Canis lupus familiaris: one gene and its partner. The protein of the gene in region 1 binds, or shares a complex with, the protein of each later gene. Links are inferred from orthologs where the notes say so. Each region holds a gene or a part of one and is shown in the gene's direction. Other genes may lie near its edges. The genes, in order: IZUMO1 and IZUMO1R.

What was found.
Region 2: the proteins of IZUMO1 (region 1) and IZUMO1R are in contact, whole or in part, in a crystal structure (PDB 5JKC), measured with the Homo sapiens proteins. The link is inferred for Canis lupus familiaris from reciprocal best matches to the Homo sapiens genes IZUMO1 and IZUMO1R. Residues at the interface, in NP_872381.2 of Homo sapiens: Met75, Val77, Tyr134, Val141, Leu146, Trp148, Lys150, Asn151, Lys153, Glu155, Val156, His157, Ala158, Arg160, Lys161, Ser162, Tyr163, Asn239, Ser240, Ser241, Pro242, Ile245; in NP_001186135.1 of Homo sapiens: Lys42, Tyr44, Glu45, Ile48, Leu58, Trp62, His65, Leu66, Asp67, Gly80, Leu81, Leu82, Met83, Pro84, Gly85, Arg87, Ile91, Met145, Ser146, Tyr147, Gln171.

The regions. Positions count from the first base shown.
Region 1 is NC_049222.1:108,251,484-108,256,059, forward strand, and holds the start of IZUMO1 (izumo sperm-egg fusion protein 1), read left to right. Parts: upstream 1-1,598; 5' UTR 1,599-2,117; coding exon 2,118-2,346; intron 2,347-2,730; coding exon 2,731-2,805; intron 2,806-3,191; coding exon 3,192-3,278; intron 3,279-3,546; coding exon 3,547-3,567; intron 3,568-3,910; coding exon 3,911-3,991; intron 3,992-4,142; coding exon 4,143-4,243; intron 4,244-4,516; coding exon 4,517-4,576. UniProt on the Homo sapiens protein: Essential sperm cell-surface protein required for fertilization by acting as a ligand for IZUMO1R/JUNO receptor on egg.
Region 2 is NC_049242.1:6,676,787-6,681,136, reverse strand, and holds IZUMO1R (sperm-egg fusion protein Juno), read left to right. Parts: upstream 1-1,376; 5' UTR 1,377-1,746; intron 1,747-2,069; 5' UTR 2,070-2,075; coding exon 2,076-2,213; intron 2,214-2,952; coding exon 2,953-3,141; intron 3,142-3,552; coding exon 3,553-3,688; intron 3,689-3,804; coding exon 3,805-3,950; intron 3,951-3,981; coding exon 3,982-4,227; downstream 4,228-4,350. UniProt on the Homo sapiens protein: Receptor for IZUMO1 present at the cell surface of oocytes (oolemma), which is essential for species-specific gamete recognition and fertilization.

The DNA.
Region 1 (4,576 bases):
TGTAGCTGTGAGCAGATCCAAAATCTGTCCCACCTTTCAGCCCCTGAAAAAAAGGACAAAGACTTGTTTGAGCAGATAGGCTGAAAACATGCGAGGTGGGGAAAGGGGACGGCTGCTGAAAGCTCCTGGAGCAGAGTTTTCCAGAAGTATAGGAACACTTTTTTTTTAAGATCAAAAGCTGCCAAAGACAAGCACCACACTAGGTCACCTCTCCCAGTTATGAAAGTTGAAAGTTTCCTCCTCTACGTCTGTGGCTGGGCTGCGGGGGCAGTAGGGTGAGGGTGGGTGGGAGCGGCGGGGTGGTGATGCAATCAATTTTCTGTAATTCAGCTAGCATGACTGTTTCCTTGGGCTTTTCTGCAAGCCTCTAAGATTGTGTGTCTCTCCCCCCACCCCCACCCGCATTTCACAGAACCACTAAATCTGGCTTCGAATTTGAAAGGATCTGAAGGTATGCAGAGTCCGGGCTGGCCTCAAACCCAGGCAGGAAAGAGCACAGGGTCTGGCAAAGGAGGATGGGATTCTGGACTCAGCTTCCTGGAACCCCTTGAGGCTTTTTGAAGGCAGTGGGGATAGCTAGCTTTATTATAGACAACCGTGATCGCATCCCCTATCTAACCAGAAGAATGCAAGCCCCTTTTTTCAGTCATCTCAAGGAGTTTGGAGGGATCACTCCCTACTCAGCTGCCAAGGTTGAAGAGAGGGAGGTATGAATTAAAAGTCCACATCACCAACTTCTGTCTGCAGATTTTTTGGAGTCGTGTGTGTGTGTGTGTGTGTGTGTGTGTGTGTAGGAGGAGGAGGAGGAGGCAAAGTGCAGAACTGCCAGGGACTCATTATTTATGTCAAAGCAGGAGTATTGTCCTGCTCTGGTCTGGCAGCCTCTGGTTCTCAGAGTTGTGTGAACCCTGGTGCTTGTTTTTCTGGTGGCCTGTTTCAGTTATGCAGAAAAGGAGAGACCTGCTGGATCCATAGGGCCCCAGTTTCTCAGTACTGGTTCTAGGCCTCTTTCCTCTGGAACCCTGGCATCAAGCCCCTTGGGCCAGGGAGAGAAGGTAGAGGGAAGAGTGAACAAAGTGGGCAATTTTTCTTTTATTTATTTATTCATGAGACAGAGAGAGAGGTATAGATATAGGCAGAGGGAGAAGCAGGCTCCACACGGGAAGCCCGAAGTGGGACTGGATCCTGAAACTCCAGGATCGCGCCCTGAGCCACCCAGGAGTCTGAAGTGCGCAATTTTGAAACTACATTTCCCATCTAGTCCTCGCGGCGGCCAGAGTAATCGGCTAGGGAGAACCCCAGGGCTTCCTGGGAGTCGTAGTCTGAGGGCTAGAACGGGCCACTTCTCTCAGGGTCGTGGCTCGAAGCCAGGTTTGCAAAAGGTCCTGTGCACTTTGCCGGAAGCCTGGGTCCGGGGGCTCAAGGACGGGAGGAAGCTGAAGACCAGAAGCCCTTTCCTTGGCTTTAGAAGCCGGAGGGCACAAAATACTTTTCCTTTCGGTAGACGCTAGGAAAGTTCTGGTCTGAAAAGACAGCGGTCTCTGTGATATCACGGAACGGTAGGCGGAGCCTCCCTTTGTTACGGTCTAATGAGACTCAGCGTTGGGCTTGTGGGGCGGGGCCAAGGAAACTCCCAGGGAGCATCTTCTGGGAAGTTGCGGCCCCAAGTGGGAAGCTAGAAGCTGGAAGCTGTGGAAACTCCTTGTAGATCGGGCGAACGGTGACCTTGACTCCATTCAAAAAGCTCTCCAAATTACGCGACCAACCTCACCCTCTCCCCCCAAAATCCTTAATTTTATTCGCGGGAAAATAGAGTTGGAAGGACGGGCCCTGCTTGTCCTAAAAGCCCTCAGCCCGGATTCGGCTCTTCAGCGAACCCTAGTATTTGAGGGTGCAACAGTCGAGGCCAAGATCGGAGAGCGGTTGTTAACGGTGCACCGGATCTCCGGACTTCCCGGTTTCCTAACCGAGAAGTGTGCGCCCTGCAAATATTTTGGGGGTCTTCGTCTCGAGGAATAGCTTCGAGTCTAACGCTTCCCTCTCTTCTTCCTAGCGTGAACGTTTAGGGTGAGAGGACCCTCCCCCAAGCACTGCGCGGACTGAGCGCTCTGGCCGCAATGGGTCCGCAACTTCCCCTCCTGGTGGCGGCGCTGGCCGGCTGCCTGCTTCCTGCCCGGGGCTGTGTCACTTGCGATGCAAAGGTCGTGGAGGCGCTATACCACTTTGAGATGGAGTACCTGCCGAGTCGGAGTCAGGAACTGCAAGGAGTGTTGGACAGGATAAAATATCTGCTGAACGATTTCAAGAAAATCCCAGATTTAAATGATCAACATTTAGGGGTTGTCGGTGAGGGCAGGGAAGAGCGTGGAAATCCTGAGTCCTGGGAAAGGAGGGGTCTGGTCTGGGGCTAGGATTGCTGGGTGTGGGGCCAGGGTGGGAAGGGAGGGAAGGACTGGAGCCAGAGTCTACTGGGTTCGGAATGGAGAAGGCCAAGATGCAGATTCCCGGTTTACCCCGGGCTAGCAAAGGCCGTGTTTCCCTCCCCCTTAGCCTGCAATTTTATGTGAAAAACTACAACTCCCAGAAGGCAACGGTCAGGCAATCCCTTTACCAGTCCTAGCCTTGCCCAGTAGCCCCATGGATATTGTAGTTTCTAAGACTAGGTGAGCCAATGAGGCAGAAAGGCTTGAATCTGGAGTTCTATCTCCCCTTTTCCCTCCCCTCCTCCAGATTCCCCCACACTGCAAAAGTTATCCGTGGATTTTCTGAAGAATTTGAAACGTATCACAAACTCTGAAGAACAAGGTAAATGCACAGAGGGGCCAGGGGAGGAGGGGCCCCAGAATCTTCCAGAAAAGTAATAGTTGGTGACAGCTGGTCTGGTAGTGGCTCTGGAGCCAAACTGCCTAGGTTCGAATTCCAGCTCTGTCATCTCCTGTGTGGGCCTGAGTGAGGGATTTCACAGCTTTGTCATTTCTAAATGAAGATCAAAATAATGCCTTCATGCCAGCTGTCGCTTAGCTCAGTGGCCCAGCATTATGTTAAGCGGTCATTGAATTTCATTGTCCCTCCCTGAGAAGACACCAAGTGGAATGCCAGGCTCTTCTGACAGAAACAAACTTCCTGTACCTCACTCCTGGGATGGGTGAGGGAGAGAGGAAGCACTCTGTGTCACCCCTGTTCCTTCCCAGGTGAGGCTTTCCTGAGTCAGATATTCTGGATGTTAATCAAGCAAAAAGCTTCCATTCTGACAACTATAACCCAGTTCCAAAAAAAGGGTGAGGGAAGATGGGAGTCTGTCAGGGACCACAGCCCCTTTCTTCAAAAGTCCCACAGTCCCCGTCTCCAGCCCCTCAGTTCTTGCAATTCTGTCCTCGGACCCAGGGATCCAGACACCTTCCTGGGGACCCAGGGATCCAGGCACCTTCCTCCCTCAAACCCAAGAGCCCAAACCCCAACCTAGTCCTTCGCCCCCCCCCCCCCCCAATCTCTTTTAACTTAGAAATCTGATCATCTTTTTTTCTTTCTTTCTTTCTTCTGAGGCAGGTTTTTGTCCCAACAAATGTGGTGAGTCCGGATTATAGGAGCTGGTCCTCTATCCCTCATCGTCGCCCGGTTATGAACCTCCCCCTTGGGGTCTCGATGTTTCTTAATTTTCCACTTCTGAGAGGTTCCTGGTCTCCAATATTCCTTCGGCACTACGGACTCACGGGGGAGCGGGTCCTATTCTATTTGCGCTCTTCACCGAGTCGGGTTGGATCCCTCTTGCTGCCGGGCTTCCTCGTAGCCCCGCCCCTTGGGCTGACCTCCTAGGGACTTGGGCACCTGACCCCGCCCCTGCCCTTGGCCCTGCCCTCTCCTTTTAGCCTCGCCTCTCAGGGCGAATACAGCGTTGATGCTGCCCCTTCAGGTCAGATGTTGCAGACTCTGATCTGGTGCCATAACTGCTTGAAGAGAATACACACTTGTCGAAAGTCCATCGATTGCGGAGGTGAGAGAGCTGGGACCAGCAGGAGGGGTCGACGCAAAGAGGGGCGGAGCCAGAGGAGGGACCGACTCTGGAGGGGGCGGGGCTGGAGCTGGCCGAGACCAAGTAGGAGCGAGTTGGGAGGGAGCATCCCACAGTAACTCCCTATCCCCAGTGCACGAAGTCGTGGTCCATGAACTGGAAGACCTGGTCCTGGATTGTGAGCTCAGCTGGCATCGAATCTCTGCAGGCCTGAACAATTACACATTTTACAGGGTGGGACCCACTAACTCCTGTAACCCTTGAACCCCGAGTCCATCAGGCTTATGTGCGCCCCCTGATCTTTGTATCCAGAGGCTTGCATCTACAATCCCTAAGGCCCATGATCTACCAGATTTTGCTGCTTCTGATCCCCGGAGACCCTATGCCCTGCCCCAGTATACCCTGGACTCCCATTTCCCCCATTGAGACCCCGTGATTATCTCACCCCTGTACAACCCGAAACCCTGAATTCCCCAGGCCTCTGTGACCCCTTGAGCTTGGGTCTAGGTTTTAGGGAGCAACAGCTTGCTGCTGTCCGTGGGGAAAGAGCCCACCCTGACCAAGACC
Region 2 (4,350 bases), on another chromosome or scaffold:
ACAGCATCTACGCTGGAGGTAACCCACTCAGCTGGTCCTTATGCAGCGGACAGAGTGTCTACCTGGGTTCAGATCCTAGCTCTGCCCCCCCCAGCGGAGCCTCAGGCTCCCCATGGTTAAGTCGGGGAGGGCATTCAGGTTCGGGCCGTTCCCAGGGGTGAGTCAGACTGTGTACCGAAGGCACCAACCCAGCCTGGGCCCTTCAGGGTGCTCGGCCCTCAGTGGCTGTGATCACCACGGCGGAGCACTCCATTTCCCAGCATGCAGGCTAACTCCTGTCTGCACATCAGCTGTGCACCCGAGCAACACAGATGGGCTGTTTCCTTCAAGTATAAAAATCCTGGGATCCCTGGGTGGCGCAGCGGTTTGGCGCCTGCCTTTGGCCCAGGGCGCGATCCTGGAGACCCGGGATCGAATCCCACGTCGGGCTCCCGGTGCATGGAGCCTGCTTCTCCCTCTGCCTGGTCTCTGCGCCTCTCTCTCTCTCTGTGACTATCATAAATAAATAAAAATTAAAAAAAAAAAAGTATAAAAATCCTCTTATTATTCTAATTTCCTACATAATGGTTAACACCTCAGTCACCTTGGCTGCTTGTAACCTTGGAGAGGGGACTTGTTATAAGAAACAGGCAAGGAGGGGCACCTGGGTGGCTCAGTGGTTGAGCCTCTGCCTTCGGCTCAGGGCCTGATCTTGGGGTTCTGGGATCGAGTTCCACATCGGGCTCCCCACAGGGAGCCTGCTTCTCCCTCTACCTGTGTCTCTGCCTCTCTCTCTCTCTCTCTCTCTCTGTGTCTCACGAAGAAATAAATAAATCTTTTTTAAAAATTAAAAAAAGAAAAAGAAACAGGCAAGGAGAGGGGCTCCTTTTCTAGTGTTTTCGTCATCTTTGGGGCTCTCCCAAGAGTCCTGTTCAAGTTTTGCAACCTCTCCTGGTTGAGAACTTTCTTGTGAACATGATCACTGCTGAGGACACTTGTAGAATATGTCATGGGACAGGGGTCTCCGCATGCTCAGGGAGGCCATTTCATGGGTTGTGATGGGGCTTATTTGGTTTTGCTGGTTTGGGCTGTGGTCACACATTTAAATTCTTGGGTCTCGAAGGCCCTGCTTCACCTCTGTGTCACTGTGTCTGTTCGCTAGCAGGAACCTGACAGAGGTCACTGTCCCTCAAGCCACCAGGTGGTGCATCCCAGGTGTCTGAGCTGACAAAGGGGCAGGTAGGGCCGCGTGCAGAACGGGTCTGGGGCCCAGAGACAAAGGCTAACAGGATAAAGGAGAATAATTAAAGCTACTAAGATTTACTCTGTGCCGGGCACGATGCCAAGTCCTTTCCGTGAATTTTCTCTTTCCTCCCCCCCCAGCCATCCCTGTTATGAAACAGCCCTTTATACAGACAGGCAGACTTGGAGAGTTCGCCCCTTTCTCCGGGTCATCCAGCCGGCAAGGAGCGGAGCCCAGAGCAGAAGTCAGTAGCGGACCAGAGCCAAGGATCCTCCCCGCTACCGGGTCTCCGCTTCTCTGAGAAAGTGGAGGCCCGAGCTCCAGCCACAGGAGGCCCCTCCACCTCGGGAGATGGATGCTCTTCAGCTGGAGCCACCTGGAGCTCTGCAGCGCTCCTGCTTTAACTGGGGCCACCTGGAGCTCTGCAGCTGCTCCCAGACTCCTAGGAAGGGGGTGGGTGATAAATGGGCCTGACGGCAGCCCCCAATCTCAGGACGTAGAAGGGAGTGGCTCCTGCCTTGAGGGTAAGTATGAAGAAAGCGCTAGAAGGGGCAGCATCTTTCCTCTGTTCCCCTGTTGCACCATCCCTCCTACTAGGGTCTGGGGGACTGTCGGGCCAGGGGCTCCTGGGGGTGGGGTGGTGGGTGAAACTAAGGAAGCTGTTGTTTCCCAAAGTGTCGGGCATTTGAGGCAGGATGCTTTTCTGCCTTTCTTCTTCCAGTCTCTCGTTCCCCTCCCTCACGTTACCAGTACTACCCAGAACTGAGACCCACACTCAGTCCTTGGGACAGTGGAGGGGATGGAGTGGGTGTCCTATCACACAAGCAGATGTATCTCCTGTCTGCAGTAGGCCATGGAACGGTGGTGGCAGCTCCTGTTAGGGCTGTGGATGGTCATGCCTGTCTGGGCTGGGGACGAGCTGCTCAATGTCTGCATGAAGACCAAACACCACAAACGAGAGCCTGGCCCAGAAGACAAGCTCTATGAGGAGGTATAGAGGCCGGACCTTGCCTGGGAGTGGGAGTGAGGCTGCGTTGGCAGAGCAGGGAAGGGACACAATTGCCAAGATGGTTTCTGAACCACCATCAACCCTGACTCATCTGGTTCCTTACGTTGGCATTTGGGCAAGGCCACTGGAGGGACAGTGTGGCCCCTAGAGAGCAGAACTGTTGAGTGCTTCAAAGTTCCCATCTCTGGCTGCCTGGACGCTCGGGGAACAGGGGCAGATGGTGATCCCAGAGGCCCATCACTGGTTCAGCTTAGATCAAACAAGGTCCTCCTTCTTTAGCCTTCCTACCAATAGCCACTGGGGAGACCTAGGTCTTAGGTGACCCTTCCTCAAGCCTGAAAAGCCATTGACGGGAGCAAGGGAAGAGTTGTGGAGCTGCCTTTTACCTGTGAGCTCTGCTGGGCTCTGGTGCCCTTCCACCCAGTGCTCCACATTGCCCTGGGTGTCGTGGGGTTCCTCTGCTGCCCCTCGGGAGCAGAGACCCTGGGACCCCTGTCTCCAGGGGACTTTGCAGCCCATGGCAGGGAGATTGGTGGGCAGGTGCCCTTTGGCTGTGAATTTTGACCCGCCTCAACATTTCTTCTGTAGGAGTGTTGCTGGCCTGAAGGCCTCCCACTTGCCCAGTGGGACAAAGGGGACAGGTTTACCTTTCTGCCCTAGACACTCCTGAGTCTCCTGCGTCCTACCCGACCCCCAGCCTTTTACTGCTTCATCCCCTCAGTGCATCCCCTGGGCAGAGAAGGCCTGCTGCACAGCCAGTACCAGCTGGCATGCCCACCTGGATGTGTCCCTGCTCTACAACTTCAGCTTGCTTCACTGTGGGTTGATGATGCCAGGCTGTGAGGAGCACTTCATCCAGGCTGTCTGCTTCTATGAGTGCTCCCCAAACCTGGGGCCTTGGATCCAGAAGGTCAGAAGGTGGGGCTGGGGAGGCAGGAGACACGTCCCCGCAGGTGCAGTGCCCTGTTCGAGGGGCACAAGGTCCACGATGCTAGCGGGAGCAGGACGCGCCGCCCCCCACAGACAAGAGCAGAGCCAGGGAGGGGTTGGGATAAAAGATGGAGAGGAAGCCGCCTCTGGCCCCAGGAGAAGGGCAGGGGGGGAACAGATGGGAACTGTAGCATGAGGGACTGTTCGAATCCCGCCTTCTGGATGTAGGAGCTGTGTAGCCTGGGCCAAACAATGTAGCCTCTTAGGGAAGGGACGCTCACAGGCTTCATAAGCGAACACCCTCAGACGGCCCCGCACAGCAGCCTGGGCCGCCGGGCCTCTTGGGAGCAGGGCTGTCAGCACCCTTGTCTCTTGCACCGCCGGGACCCAGGTGGGCTCGAGCGGGCAGGGAGAGCGGATCCGGGACGCGCCCCTGTGCTGGGAGGACTGCGAGCAGTGGTGGGAGGACTGCCGCACGTCTTACACCTGCAGATCCGACTGGCTCGGCTCCTGGGACTGGAGCAGGGGTGAGTGGTGCTGGCAGCGCCCCACGGGGGGGGGGGGGGGGGCAGGGGCAAAGGAGGGCCGTGAGGGCGCGGGCGGGCGTGGCGGGAAGTGAGCGCCCCCCCCCCCCCCCCCCCAGGGAAGAGCCGCTGCCCCTGCGGGGGCCGCCTGCCGCCCTTTCCCGCGTTACTTCCCCACGCCCGCCGCCCTGTGCCAGAGGATCTGGAGCGGCTCCTTCCAGGCGAGCCCCGCGCGCAGGGGCAGCGGCCGCTGCCTGCAGAAGTGGTTTGAGCCGGCCCGGGGCAACCCCAATGAGGCCGTGGCCCGCCTCTTCGCCGCCCCCGCCCGCGCCCGCGCCCCCGCCCGCCGCCTCTCCTGCAGCCTGGCCGGCCTGGCCGCCTTGTCCCTGCTGCTGGCGGTGCTGTCCCCGCGCCCCCGCCTGCGCCCCCCGCTGCGGCTCAGCCTGGGCCCGGGCGGCCCCCTTTCCCGGGCCCCCCCAAGGGAGCAGCACGGCTGGGGCGCTGCTGGGCCCCTGGCCGCGGGAGCCTGTGCCCGAGCCTGAACGCTCAGTTCTAGGCGCCCCCACCGCCCCGCTCTGCTGACGGCCGCAGCCCCGGCCTCCCTCCCCACGACGGTGCCTCCAATAAAACAGCAGCTGACTTTTCCCTTCTGTGTGAGCCCCTCG